Lepisosteus oculatus: one gene and its partner. The protein of the gene in region 2 binds, or shares a complex with, the protein of the main gene of each other region. Links are inferred from orthologs where the notes say so. Each region holds a gene or a part of one and is shown on either strand. Other genes may lie near its edges.

Region 1 (7,422 bases), on a different chromosome or scaffold from region 2:
CACTGAATAACGGCTGTGAGTCATGGCGCCTAGTGACTAGATCTTAATGGATCTCTCCTACAGCAGGTCTGGATGAGTAAAAAAAACTCAAGACCACATAGCAAAGCACAGTCCTTCGCTTTAAGAAGAACCTCCAGTTTGTGGAGTTTGTTGCATTTGAGTCAAGGCATGTATCTTCTGCGTACGGCTTCAGGAACTTCAAATTCTCCTGCCGTTGTTACAGAAATGTGTGATAAATGCATATCCACTTCTCTTGGACAGAGAACTTAATCCCTACAACTTGGAAACGGGGCTCAGATTATGACCTACTATGAGAAACCAGGATCATGTTTGATCCTGAGCTCTGTTTCGACAGACAAATAAAAGCCATCCGTAATGTCCCTTAGTTTCTCCTCAGGGACATTGTCCACGTTAAGTCCTTCCTTGATCACACTGCCGTAGAAACCCTGATTCATGCCTTCATGCCATCTCGACTGGGTTACTGCAGCGGCCTTTACAGTGGTCTCCCCACTTCCTGAAAACAAGCTTCAGCCGCTCGGCGTCGAACACATTCAGGGCTCCGTGACCACGTCACCCCAATTTCTGACACGTCGTCACTGGCTCCCCATTGCCCAGCGCACTCAGTTCAAAACTGTCCTCTTTACTTTTAAAGCCCCACTCACCACTTCCTCATAAGCATCTCCAAATACTCCGGATGTCCCAGGCAGGACCTAAGGCTCTGCTGAGGTGCACGGTTTACTAGTACCTTCTTACAGGTACAACCCTCTTGGGGCTCACCACCAGTTCCCTGCCCATCTGAGAAATGTCCTTTCGTTCACTTTCTAAATCTAGACTAAAGACGCTTTCCTCCTCTTTTCTCCAATTACTGTTTGCATTTTTCTCTTTCTTTCCCCATCTTTCTCTCTGTTCAATGTTACTTCTATTTTTTCTTGACCCTCTGAAGTGCCCCAGACACTCTTGGTTTTGGCCTGGGCACTTGAATTAATCCTTGAAATTCTTGGGGTAAATATGCACACTTATCTACAAGTACACTTATGCTTACTACCAATGAGAAGAGAACTTTGTCCCCCTGACTCTCACACACACATACAGTACAGTACAAGCAAGTCTAATACCAAGAATACTGAAATTATTCTTAAACCCACAAAAAAAAAAAAAATAGGACAAAGAGTCAGTTCTGCAGTTCTTGCAGGTTTATCGCCAGGATGTCTCGTTTAATTTATTGTAAGTGTAAGAGAAGCTTACCGGAAGGGGTAATCAAATCTCAATCTATTCCATTACAGGATTTCAGGGGGGGCTTACAGTACCACTGTTAGAGGGATTTCCAGTTAGACCTCCGGCCACCTGGGCGTGCCGTGTCCAGCCGGCCAACAGAGAGACTAGCCCAGATGAAAGCAGGGCAGGTGGACTGAAGGTCTGGGAGGCGTTATGCGCCTCAGAAAATCCGTCCCAAGGCAAATCAGGGGTTAAGGCTCAAGAAAACCGGCCACGTTAACGGAGCTGTGTGGGAAATGTCCCAGATTTTATACCGTGTCCATAAAGAGGCCTGAACTCCAACGCAGGTTTTTACTACAGGAGTGGTCCGCTGCTGCCCAGTGCCTCTCGGTGGACACCCCTGCTCCCACTATCCGCAAAACCGGCCCCAATTACGCATGGCAACGACGTGTTTTTTTTTCTCTCTCTCTCCTAAAAATCGTCTTTCGCTATCAAAAATCTTCTTAAAAAGGACAATCGTTTTGAAAATGCTTGTGTGCGCAGGAAAAGCTAACGAGATATAGTGCTCCAATGTCAAACGAGGGCCCCAAGATACGCGGTCAAAACCGCTGTAACGCCGAATACTGTTTATTTGAAAGTGTTATCATCGCGTGTTTTATTTATAGAGTATGGAGGGTTTTTTTTTTAATATCTGCGTTTTGTTTTGTTTTTTACTAAAATTATTCTACTTCAATTTGTAAAAAATAAGAAAAGCCGCTGACACCAGCATCAGCGCCTGGTCGGACAATGGTGGGACAGTCTTTTCTCGAATGACATTTCACGGCTCTATTATTACTTGAACCCAGGGAGGAAAACAATCTTTCAGTAAAACCCTTGCCGTTCAAATGGGTGGGTGGGTGGGGGATATTTTTCTCTCCAGCAGCGAGTAAATGAAATTCTAGGTATTATTCATCATTGGGAATATACACAGCAGTATATACAACTGTATCGTGCAATTCTTGACAATACACAGTGGGGGGTCACAGTGACAGGCTACAGCTGTTAAAAAAAATTGTGGATCACACCTACCCAGTAAAAGCAGCCGGTGGGTCTGCTTATATTCCCGTTTCTGCTCCTTCAGAGCTCTGTCAATGCTTTTACTGACTTTTTTGGCTTCCTTCTCGGCCTCCTTCTCCTCCACCCGCAGCCTGTCCCAGCCTTTCTGCTGCTTCTGCGTGCTGTGCTTGTGCAGCAGCTGGAGCTGCCGGCTGCGCTCCGCTCCTCCGCCGCCTCCATTCTGCACCACCACCACCCCGTCGGTGCCCGTGTCCCCAGCCGACAGCTTGCCGGCGTCCCCCCGGCGGAGCGGCGCCGTCTCGCCGTATCCCCCCGCGTCCCCGTGTCGCAGGTCCCCGGCGCGGAGCGGCGCGGTGGAGTCGGGCGGCGGGTCCGAGTCCGAGGTAGTGGCGTTAGAGATGGACCCACTGGGCTCCCCGAAAAGACGCGGACGCAGGCTGTAACACAACCCCATGGTTGCCCACCCCCCCCTCCCCTCTAATGAGGTTTTTCTCCCCCCCCCCAATTTATACAAAAATAAAATGTAAAAAAAAAAATCCTCTTTCTGTTGTTGTTGTTAAGCCGACAATCCCAGCGCGGAGTTTAGCGATTCATTGTCACGCTGTAGCTCCAAAAATACGATTTAAATCCGAATCTGGGTCGAAAAGGTGAGTAAATTATGCCCTCACATTTGCTATATGCCATGTTTCATTTTCTCTAGTCAGTCAGCTTGTGTTCCGTAGTTGGTGGTGGATCACCTGATCGCTCAGTGGACACTGCTGGTCCACCTTACCGTAATTAAACCAAAAGCGCCTCCACTCAAAAGCAAACCATCAGTGATTGCGGTAATGGCGAGTTAGAAATACCTCCTCCACCTCTCTCCCCCCCAGCCACCACCCCCACCAAGGACAGAGATGATTAAAATTCAGGCTGTCGGGCTTATTTAAACATAAATAGATGTGAAAACTTTTTCAAATCAGAAGTGAAAGCAGTATAGAGCCTGTACTTTGCAACATTACATTCAGATAGTAAACAAGTATATTGTATGATCAATATGAGTCACAAGAATCTGGCTCTTGGTTAACATCAGCACAGATGTACAGGTGCACTGTTGTAAAAGCATGAAAAGGAACAAGCAAAGGTTTATTTCATGCTGTTTTTTGAAGTTATTCCTAGAAAGAACGAGCCAAAAACACCCCTCGGACCATCAACTCGAGCAGGAACTCCCGCCATAACAACTGCATTCCTTTAACACACTTCCTATCCCCAGGATGTTAAGATTAAAGATTAAGATCTCTCCAAGCCCATTGTTTCTCATTTCACTTTTGACGGCCATGATCACACTAATCTCTCTGACTGTGTTCTCAAAGGTTTTCCTAACTCCTACATCAGAAAGACTACAGAAACTCAAATTATCCTGCAGCTAGGATCACAGCTTTCCCCTTCTCTCAACAGAAGACTAATTTTCTTCTCAATTCTCTCTATTCATTGTATGTTTCATTTCACACCTCTCTACACCTATTCTGACTTCACACCTCTTGATTGGCCTCTCTTTCTGTCCCCTGCTCCCGCCCCTCGCTCCTCCTCTCTCCCAACCTTTGTTCTCCCGCTACTTTACCTTTGCTTCCTGCCTTGTCTCTCTCACACCTGAAGAAGGCTCCACGGCCGAAACGTTGTATTTTCTTTCTTCTCTTTTCAGCAGGGAATAAACCTTTACTTGTTCCTTGCAGCCAGCACATGCTGACGGAGCTTCCTACCTGAACTGACTCTGAGCCAGCTGCTAACTGATTTAAGATGCTGTATATTTTTATAACCCCTTTGCTTTTTTATTTAGCATGAATTATCTACCAATACGTCTGCTGGATGTTATAGGTTTCCTGCCCAGATCGATCAATCACCCACGGCCTTCTTGTATTTGTTTTATTTCTAAAAGCCGGGAAGAATCTCCAAGTTCCTTAGGGGGTCAGATTTCCACAGGGCCTGGTAAAAAAAAAGAGTTGAAATGGGAGATGAAACAAGCCATCGAGTTTCAGAAGAGAAAAAAAGGCACTTCGCGTTGTGGCACGAGGAGCTGAGCAGGAAGTGCCCCCTGAGAGACGAGTCTCGGGTGAGACAGCGGGAGCAGGGGGCTGTGTCAGCAGGGGCACAGTTAAGGGTGCTCCATAGCCTCACTGGTCAGCTTCTTCTCTTTGCCTTTCAGCACGGAGTGAGCCTTTAAGTGAGATGATCTGAACGGGCCCATCAGCCCCTCTTGTTTGGAATCCTTTCGATACTAAGCAATACCATAAAATATTTTAAAACCGACTGAAGAAAGCCTGGTACGTGCTTTATAATGCACTTGGGGCTCCCTGGATGTTTGACAACACCTATTTCTGTATTCCACAAGTTTTATCTTTTCCTAAATATAGGTTCTGGCAAGAAGACCACTCAGTTGACACGCACCTAGAAATGGTCTAGAAGTATTTTTACAGTGCAATATTTTGCATACAGTGCCTTTGTAAAGCACTCAGACACATTGTTGCTTCCAGTCATGGCACTTTGAAATAGCAATTTATGTTTATTAAACTGCATACACAACCTGCTCCATACTTCAAAAGCAAAAACAAAAATATAAAAGTAAAAAGGTAATTAATATGATGGAAAATAGGAAAAACTGTGACTGCGTAAGTATTCAAATCCTTACATTTACAGAATTACCTGAATACACCACACATTCAGTTGAATGGTCTCTGTCTGTGTGCAGGCATAGTGTTTCACATGATAACAGAACAAATACATGTCTACCCCAGGTAATGTCCCTCAGCCAGGCAGGGCAAAGACACGATATTAAAGACTAAGGAGTTTTCAAAGCCAGGGATAAAGTTATTGAAAGATACAGACCAGCAGAAGAGTACAACAAAATCCTGAAGTCTCTGAACATCTCACTGAGCACAGTTTACTCAGTCATCAAGAACCCAACACTCACCCACTGAGCAGCTGGGCAAGGGGGAAACTCGTGAGGAATGCAGCTGTTAAGTAACAACATCTTCGGCGTTCAATCGCCGAGATGGGAGAAAATGTCCAAGACTGCGTAACCCCCCGGTCCCTTCACAGAGCAGGCCCGCGTGGCAGGGTGGACAGAAGAAAACCGTTACCAGAAACAATCTCAGAGCCCGCATTGGGCTTTTCAATAAAGAATCCGAGGGATCCAGCAAAAATGTGGCACAAGGTGCTGGGATCAGGTGAGACCTACTGTAGCTGGGATTTTTGATCTATCCCCTCACTCTGTGGTTGGAACAGACCCAGCGGACCACATCTCCCAGTCAACACCATCCCTACAGTCAAGCATGGTGGTGGCAGCATCCTGCCATGGGCATAGTTCTCATTAGGGACTGGAAAGCTTGTTAGAATGGAAGGAAACATTGGTCGAGCAAAGCACGGGGAAATACTTTGGGGAAAACTTTTTTTTCATGCTGCTTAGGAAAATGCACCAAGCACAAGGCCACAGCTACAGTAAACTGTCTCAAGAATGAGAAAGAGACTGTCTTTGAGTGGCCCTGACTCCTGACTGGAATCCTATTGAGGATTTGTGCAAAGCCCTGAAAGCTGCTGTTAATAAGCAATCCCAAAGCAACTTGAGAGAGCTCGAGCAAATCCGTCTAGAAGAATGGGCACAAACGGCACCAAGTCTTCGTGCGCTGTCAGTAGAGACCTACCCAAAAAGACTTCTGACTGCTAGTGTTACAAAAAGGTGCTTCCAACAAATATTGTGTTCACAGTTTTAAATATACTGTAGATACGTGCACATTTTATTTTTTCCATTAAATGTTGCTGATATTTACTGATATTGCTGATATTCAGATTTTGAATTGAATATTAATTTTAAAACAAACGGATGCATAGACATTTTTAATTTCACAAAATGGAACACCATTGGGTAAATGGAAAGGATATGAATACTTTGAATCCAGATTTGGCTTGAAATTGTAGATTAATATCAATACAGGATATGAACATAATGTAGTTCAGGTGGGTAGCTGCGTCAGCATGCGTAGGCTGCAAAGGAACAAGTAATAGGTTTATTCCATGCTGAAAAAAAGAAGAAAGAGAACACAACGTTTCGGCCGTGGAGCCTTCTTCAGGTGTGAAGACCTTCACACACCTGAAGAAGGCTCCACGGCCGAAACGTTGTGTTCTCTTTCTTCTTTTTTTCAGCATGGAATAAACCTATTACTTGTTCCTTATGAACATAATGTTTCTACCATTACTACTGCTGTTTTAGGTCTAAGAGTACAAGTAAGGAAGATGGTAATTAAACGTGATTTTAACAATGCATATATGATTTATCAACAAAGATCAACGTAATTTATCTTGTTCTTATTTTTCAGCTTTAAAATGTTAATGTGAAAAAAATTCTCAATAGCTTTTCTGTCATTTTCCTCATTCTAGTTTATGTTTCTGTACTTTAAAATGATACAATTGCTGTAATGCGACCAGAATACTTGTGTAAATTCCCATACTGTATATTTATGGCAGCCAACCTTTGTACATATAGATAACCAAGCAGCTTTAGTGCTTACTAAAGACCACTAGCTACCTGTCTCATTATCACACCCTTATCATAATTAATCATGTGAAAAGGGCTTTTACTTCATGGACATATTTTTAACAAGAAAGAGAATAAATTACAATTCTAAGTACTAAGTACAATATTCAATATGAATTAATTAAAACTCTTAAGTTGTTAATAAAGCAAATCCCCCTGCCAGCTGGAGCGACACTGCGGAGGAGTGATCTGGGCTCTGGACTTGCAACTCAAAGCTGTGGGATTTGGTCCCATGTGGACTGAGCCCGAGAGCCAGGTACTTCACTGGGAGCGGGCCATTGTTCACTGGGAGTGGGCCATTGTTCACTGGGAGTGGGCCATTCTTCACTGGGAGCGGGCCATTGTTCACTGGGAGTGGGCCATTGTTCACTGGGAGCGGGCCAGTAAAACAGCCGGCTGCAAAAATGGGTACTAATGTCAGACACTTTGGGTAACAATAATTACTTGTGAATTAAGAGCTTCAGTGGACTACTATGCTTACGTCTTCACAATGCTGTATTTTAACAGTTAAAAGTCTTGATATCATAGAAATGGAAACAAGCCCTGTAGGTGAATTTTGATAGTACTGTAATGTTGTGAATTTCCAC
Region 2 (7,771 bases):
TGTCCAGTCCAATAAAGTAAAAAAGAGGTTGTGTACAGTCAGTCCTGTTTTTTTTTTCCCTGCAGCTTTTGTTTGGGCTGTCTGTATGAGTTAGGCCTTTAAATGGGATAATGATGAATACCACAGCAATTTGCACTTAAAATATCCCTACATAGCATTGATAGCCCAATATATACAAGAAGTTTGTGAAATACAGTGACCTGCAGGTCTGATAGGACATGATTAAGGTATTTACAGTGTATATTTATTACTAATGAAATGCATGTAGCAGACCTACCATAATTTTACTTAAAAGGAACTAATGTACTGCTTCAAAGGGTCGTATTGATAAGAACTACTGTGAAATGCAATTTGTATTGTCTAATTGTACTGTGTACACATTTTATTTTAAAACATGTTTTATTGTAAATTATTCAGAACCATACTTTTTTTATTAGCATCCAGGTTGCTCTGTATGTTGCTTTACATTCTTTAAATACAGATACTGTATACTTTAAAAATATGCTCTTTCACCATGTCATTTGCCAAGTTTTATGCATTGGACTTTATTTTTATGTTTGTTTTAATGTATTAAACTTCAATGTTTTAATTCACAGATATTTTTAGATTTAATTTTGCTGTAAATGTGCTTTTCCCAATACCTTCCCCTATGACTTAAGCAATTAAAAGAACTGACTATATATAGTACCTTTCTGCCTTTTATTGGTTGTTTTTATTTTTATTTGGTCACCTATAACTGTGAACTCACTATCACAAAAACAACAAAAAACTATTTGGATGGAAAAAACACATTTGAGAAAAGAATCATAAAACAGTGACTGAAAAAGAAAGCAGCAGCATTTCAAAATCCAAAAATGCAGCATAATACTTTTCTACATGATGTTAAAAATATTAACTTTTTGTGCCTGTGAATATATTTCTTGTTCACAAGTGTAAGCTTCCAGTTCACTAAGTTTCACAATCTCTTCCTGCATTTGTGCAGATGAAAGGGGTTGCCTTCCATACCTTGAACTGATGGAGGTGTTTGAAGTCATTTTTGCCATACCCTGCAAATGGAAACTGATGTCTCAAAAGTGAAAAATATGTGAACAAAAACTAAAGTTGCATTACTTAAACAGTAAATCATTGTATTCTGCATAATCATGCTACTTGCTGTTTAATTTAAAGACCACTACTTTGCTAAGATATTGCATAAATACTATAATTCCTCAGCAATTATAGCTGTAAAACAAAAAGATCTGTAGTCTGTCTTTTAAGACAAAACAAAAAGTCATAGAATTGTCTATTCGCATCTTACTGAAAAGAAAATTACCAAGGTTTAAAAATGTATTAATTTTATAAATAAAAGAAGAGCAGAATGAAGGGAAGAGAGTTATAGAACTAGCTAACTGTCAAGTTAAAATAAATACAAAAAAGGAAAGAAAGTTGCAAATTAAGGGGTAATTGTAATGTAAAATCAATTTTACCTTTCTGACATGTAAGCTGAGATTAATGAAAATATGTCTTTTAATTACCATTCTCGGTCACATCTTCAAAAAAATTATCATTGGGATGAACAAGAAATATCAGAAATGTTAACAAGAGGCGTTTAGTTCATAATTATCTACTGTAGTTTGTCCTCATTGATTTCAGGGTATTGGTTTATGATCCTCATGAAAATGTCTTAAAAAATATGAAATTATCATCTAAACTGTGGTCTAGTTTTCCCGATACGTTTGTACATATTGTTTCTCTGGAGAATCACATTTTTACCTTCCACCTTCGGGATATACTTCCTTCTTTTCCAAGTACATTCTGGGCCCTTGTGAGTCCATAGTTTTGTCGTCATTTCTCACTTCAAGGCCCCTTCTTCCAGGTAAGAGAGATTTTATTTAATTTTACAAAGACGATGCAGTATTTATAGCTTACAGATGTTTGTAAATAATAACCCAGGGCACTATCGTACATAACAGGAAAACTAACTGAAATTACCCAAATGTAAGACATTATATCATATTACAACATGCTGTGGTCTTTATTTAGACTTAGGCTCACCGATCACAACACGTGCAGTCAAATGGAGTGGCTGCAATGGAGAGAGATATACTGTTGTTTTCAAGGTCGGAGTAGCTGATGAAATCTACCAGCTCTGCCTGGACAGGTAGGTTTTGAGGAGAAATTGGCATCTGATGAAAGAAGAGAAAGACAAGAAAAAAGTAGTTAAATTTCACACAGGCTGGAAGAATGTACATTTTAAACATTAAAAAGGTTGGTGGTTAACACGAAAAGGCAACAATGTGTTCAGTTTACATCACCACAATTTAAGAAATACACTGTTGCTCCATCGTATGAGGGAGAGCAGCCAGACTGAGACTAATTCCTGAACTGAGAGCAATGTCTTCCTAACACAAAAGAAAGGAAATGAATCTCTTAACCATGGAAGGAGTCAACATGCTGCTTTGATGGAGGTATTCAAAAGCCCTGAAAAGCATTGATCATATCAATCTACGAAATAAACAAAGACTGAAGACTCTTGTTAATCAGGTTATGGGACATTCAGAACATAAATAGAAGATGCTCCTTTATTAAGAGAATCATAGCTGACAGTGCAAACAGTGTGAAGAAACCACTTGATATATATTTAGTTTCCGCACATTTGGGAGATCTGTTCCTCTACTGTGTGGCAATTTATCATTTCTCAGGTATGTTTTGTTCCAAATGTCCATTTTCCATGGAGTAGCTTGCTGTTTTTAAGTATCACTAATAACAGGGTAACACTATAAATGGTAGGCTAGAACATAAGCATCTTGACTTCTCTAGAGCTAGATGTTTACAATTTAAGAATCCGTAAGAAACATGACTTTATTTCAGGAGACCTGTGACAAATATGCTGATGTCCATACATTTTAAAATGATTACCATAAAGCCATTTATCATTCTAACATGCTGAAATAAACAAGAGGTTCCAGTCACAGTTGCTAGGAGGATAAATGTTACTCAGTTTTCGGACCCTTGCACAACTTTCTACATTTTGTGCCTCTAAAGCATGACTCTTGTAAAAAGCAGTTACACTTCATGTGAACATGGCAAGGATATTTCCTAAGGATACTCTTTGTGGGACTGCCACTTGGTGGAGTTCTTTGCTAGCTTTTGTGTTACTAAGGAACAAGTAATAGGTTTATTCCGTGCTGAAATGAGAAGAGAGGAAACAGCGTTTTGGCTGTGAAGCCTTCTTCAGGTGTGAGAGCCACACACTGACACGTTTTGTGTTACTACAGTATGTGATTAAAAAGAACCATTAATGAAAGAACTAAAATCATTTGATAAAGGAAGACTCATTTCAAATTGAAATGGTATTATTTTTCTAAAATCCATCCATCCATTCAGCCATTTTCTAACTGCTTCACAACCACTTAAGGGTTGCGGGGGAAGCTGGAGCCTGTCCCGGCAAGTAATTGCCCATGTGTCTGTGTGGTGGTGGTCAGTGCTGCTGCTTTGCAGTGCTGGGCCCCTGAGGGCAGTCCTGGACCTGGGGTGCTGTCTATGTAGAGTTCTCCCTGAGTTCACATGGTCTTCCCCCAGGTGCTCCGGTTCCCTGTCACTGTCCAAAAACATACTGGCAGGTTCATTGCCTTCTGGGAAAATTGGCCCTGGTATGAGTGTGTGTGTGTGTGTGCCCTGCGGTGGACTGGTGTCCTGTCCAGGATGTACCTTGCTTTGTAAGTGTTACTTGCTGGGATAGGTTCTGGCTCCCTCACAACCCTACAATAGGTGAAGCAGTTAGGAATTGGGTGAAAACATACATTTCTGATTAATTAAATAAAGATTCTGGTACTAAGTAAAAGCTGGCCTGGTCTTTGAGGGCTGATGGGTAGTCTAATTCTTGGTCCGAATGATCCCTCAATTATCTCATAAATCAAAACATAGGTGTAATTCATCAAAGTGTTCCAGGACTTTACAAACCGATTATTTAATGGATATACACAAAACTCACTGGACCAAAGTTCTTCAGAACGATGTCTGGAAACTTCCACTGAAGACCTTCTCCGTGCTGCTTTTCGGCTCCTTTTTTATTAAAACACTTAAAAATGTAAAAATTAGCAAGGACCTGCATCTCTCCTGAAGAAATTAACCTTGCTTCTACAACAACCAGATCGTCCATCCACATTTATTGCTTTTATTAACGTTTAGAACAACTGTGATTGCTGTGGGCAGCAAAAATACCAAAACCAAACATGACTTTATAAAGTGGTGTGTCTTAAATATATTATCATTAACTTAGGTTTGTTTTTGTGTGTGTGCATAAAGAAATAAATCGGTGACACGTTGAAAACAAGAAATGTGATTGTCTTTGCTTCTACTGAGAAGTAACTGTTTATTATATAACTGCTTATAGGATACCTGTAAATTCAGCTAAGGCTTTCCCTATTATTACAATTCATTTAAAAAATCTGAAACGGCAATTTCGTCGTCTGCCTCCACCATTTTAAAACCAGGTTTGCTCTTGCGATATGGTCAGGTTTTCAGCACGCCACATATCACTTTTCCGGCTTAAGCGAAAATGCTACACAAATGTAGTTTTTGGTACGTTCGTGGACTACCAAAGAAACCCCTTTGGTTGAAAATCGGGTATTGTCAATTTTCGATGATGACCAGTCCCCACCAAATTTTGTCTCCTATGTCAATGGCGACTTCCATTGCGGCTTCAGCGCCCTCAAGCTTGATAGGCTAAAATCGCCCCATATGATGAGAGTGAATAACGCTGCGGGAATGTTTGATCTTCCTTGGTGGTCCAAGGTGCTGAAAGAACTCGGGGTTGGTGTTTAGCAGCCAAACGTTAGGTTTTTGTTAAAAAAATCGAGGTGCACATGCATGTATGCCCCTAATTACACACCCTCGATAAACATTACTTGCACTCGAATGCAATGAGAAAAAACGACTTGAATGTAAGATATCAAAGGGAAAAGTTGAGTTTCGGAATTTAAGTGCAAGCGAAAAGGGGAGAAAAAAAAATTAAACCCCATTTTAAACCGTAGATTGCAGGTAACTATAGCTTGCGTCGGGCTAAGGGTTTTTTTAAGAGGTGAGCTGGAGTTGAGGCGGCGGCTAGTGCCGGGCCAGACCACCCACAAACTGAACCAGTGCGGTGGGGAACTAGCCTAGATGGGAGTGAGAGAAGTACGGAGTCGGAGAAAGAGAGGCGGACGCCATTGCAGCCGCGAACTGCCCTTCTGGATTTCAATCAGCTGATTTAAGAAAAGCAAAGGATCTGGCAATGAGGGAGAATAAAGTTCCTCTCCCGATACCACGAAAACACGCGGAGTGAGGGTTGTTTGCATCGGATTTGCAGAAAGGATGCGAGTTCGCTACAGCCAGACTGAAACGGTGAGAAAAAAACTTTTCAGGGGGGATTCGAGGAGGCTGTGTATTGTGTAGAGCAGACAAAGGCAAAGCTGCAGGACCTTCTCGTGGCTAAAAACCTAGTGCAGAAAAGATTTTGCAGCCGATTCAAAGACATCGTGTCTATATGAGGTTAATAATGGGTGAATTTTGGTTTTCGATTGGAACCAAGCTCCGTATGAACAGTATGGGCAAGTTTTTTTCTGCTGCTGAGGTTTTAGATATTTTTACTTTTTGAACGTCTTTCGGTGAGAACGTTTATTATACAAAAACGAAAACCGGTCATAAATTAAATTTGCGCACTGAAGTCGTTTTCATTAATTCACGGAACAGAACGGAGACGATACAGAAGAGTGCCGTCTTGTGATTACATTTACAACTGTGATTACAGTGCTTTTACCTATTACTAAGTACAAATGCATACGATTTAAAGGCAAAGGCAATCTTCTGCCAGGCTCTGTCGGTTTTAAAAAAGACTGGCTCGCTTTATTACCGTTTGGTTTGGTTAGAGAGGAAGCGAGTGGCTAGACTTGAGGAAATCCCCAGGCCAATTCGAGGAATGAAGCAGATGTTTTCAGGGAGTCTTGTGAGTAAAAATAGACGTAACTCCAAATATATAAGTGGGAGATAATTCTGAGAAAGACATTAGAGTGGATGTTCCATCCACTGACCTACTTTAACGTTCCCATTTTCCCAAAACTTCTAATGATTACTCACTGTTTCCTTGTGTTGAGGATATAAGAAATCATTTTGCATTTTTCGTAAAATGAGCCGAACCATGAGGAGCAGTTGTAGTTTCTACCGGTGCCTTGATTTTGTAGAGTGCACCCAATACATTTTTGAGGGGCGTATAAAGAGCTCTTTTGTACAAAATCGCCCAGTCGGCGATGTTTATGTTGTTCTTTTCATGATATAAGACAGAATGGTTTGTAATTCTTCTTTATTAAATCGGTTTTGTTGATCTGCTTTAGCTCTTAGAATTCACAAATTAAACTGCTTCTTCATAAATTTGCTTACTTTCCCTGTATTATCAAAATAATTATTTCAATTTAGAAACACGAAACACGTTGACGCTGATAATTCTATAAATCTTCAAATGTTATTGTAAACTTGAAATGTTATTGCAATAGCGTTATCCCTTGAGGTTGCCGGATTAGGAGACGCTATTTTTTAAAGACTATTTTGCAGTCCAGAGTAGTTCGATGTGCTCCAGTTTTAACGTTGATGAAAATAACATAACCTATCACTCTAGGAGACGTGGAATTTAATCGCATTACAATGTCATAATTTTGGCAAACCAAATAACGACAACAGTTGTGTATGGTGGATGTGGTGTTTTGCGATTTCTGCTATAGTGGAACCGAGCACAAAGAGATAAAATAAGATCTTATCAGATAGTGCACAAATATGAAATGAACCATTGCTGCACTGATTTTAGTAATTTCGTCTTTTAAGCAGCATGAGCTTTCAATACTAGCGAGGTTATAGTTTCAGTTTCTACTAACATTAATAAGTCTAAATTCATAAAAACACTGAATAAGGTGTGCTCTTTGCTGTGCATCAAGAACAACAGTACGTGATTTGTGTTATGGCTCTGAAGTTCCTTCGGCCCAGTCAGATCCCCATTTGCCTTTGGGATGTAGCCTATTATTACTGTCCTAATCAGTGCTTGGGACGCAGTAATATGCAACTGCTGCATTCAAAGATAAATAACACCGTTTATTGCAAAACGCTCGACTTTTAGTTCTTGCGAGAGAAATGAGAGACTAAAGTCCTCGGTTGCCAGCAAAAAGAAAAAGGCTTTTGTGTTGTTGTTTTTTTTTTTGTTGACCGGATTCTATGTACTACTTACAAAATAAGTTATTTTAGGGTTATTGTCTGGATAAACCACTTTCATTTAATCGATTAAATTAGACGTGTTGGCAAGTGATTTGTTCTAACGTTTTTAAACAAGGTGTGCATGAAGTGTAACGAATATGTTGTGGAAAAATTGCAGGGCCTGTTTACTGTTGACCAGTCACGCTGCTGGTATTTTTTGCCATTGTTGTAGTTCTATTAACATTTTGCAGGTCTCATTTGGACTCCCGTTTCCTGAAATAGATGAGGCCCTTCAGTGTAAATACAGAACACAACTGAGTTAAACAACCATTAATCTCTGTCACACCTGGGGTTGGTCTCACATCATGTTGGCCTAAGGTTTTGAATATTCTTCTGGCAGTTACCAAGGATGTCTCCCCCTGCACGGTGTGCCAGTCTCCCACAATGAACAGCAGCAGCAATGGGGCGCACCCACAGAATGTCTCGGCTTTGGAGGGTGGTGGGGCCATGGTCGCAGAGTCCTTCCTCATCATCGCCATCACCCTGCTCGTGTTCCTGGGAAACCTACTGATTG

What was found.
Region 1: the proteins of gpr161b (region 2) and guanine nucleotide-binding protein G(olf) subunit alpha are in contact, whole or in part, in a cryo-EM structure (PDB 8KH4), measured with the Homo sapiens proteins. The link is inferred for Lepisosteus oculatus from reciprocal best matches to the Homo sapiens genes GPR161 and GNAL. Residues at the interface, in NP_001254539.1 of Homo sapiens: Arg125, Ala128, Val129, Leu130, Pro132, Met133, Tyr135, Pro136, Met137, Ile139, Ile211, Val214, Ala215, Lys218, Ala219, Lys267, Ala268, Thr271, Trp327, Asn328, Lys329, Arg332; in NP_001135811.1 of Homo sapiens: Ala41, His43, Lys203, Val204, Phe206, Phe363, Cys366, Arg367, Asp368, Ile370, Gln371, Arg372, His374, Leu375, Gln377, Tyr378, Glu379, Leu380, Leu381.

Annotation. Positions count from the first base shown.
Region 1 is NC_090701.1:57,018,072-57,025,493, reverse strand, and holds the start of guanine nucleotide-binding protein G(olf) subunit alpha, read right to left. Parts: upstream 3,006-7,422; 5' UTR 2,726-3,005; coding exon 2,284-2,725; intron 1-2,283. UniProt on the Homo sapiens protein: Guanine nucleotide-binding protein (G protein) involved as transducer in olfactory signal transduction controlled by G protein-coupled receptors (GPCRs).
Region 2 is NC_090710.1:23,450,408-23,458,178, reverse strand, and holds the start of gpr161b (G-protein coupled receptor 161), read left to right. Parts: upstream 1-4,770; 5' UTR 4,771-5,364; intron 5,365-7,597; 5' UTR 7,598-7,641; coding exon 7,642-7,771. UniProt on the Homo sapiens protein: Key negative regulator of Shh signaling, which promotes the processing of GLI3 into GLI3R during neural tube development.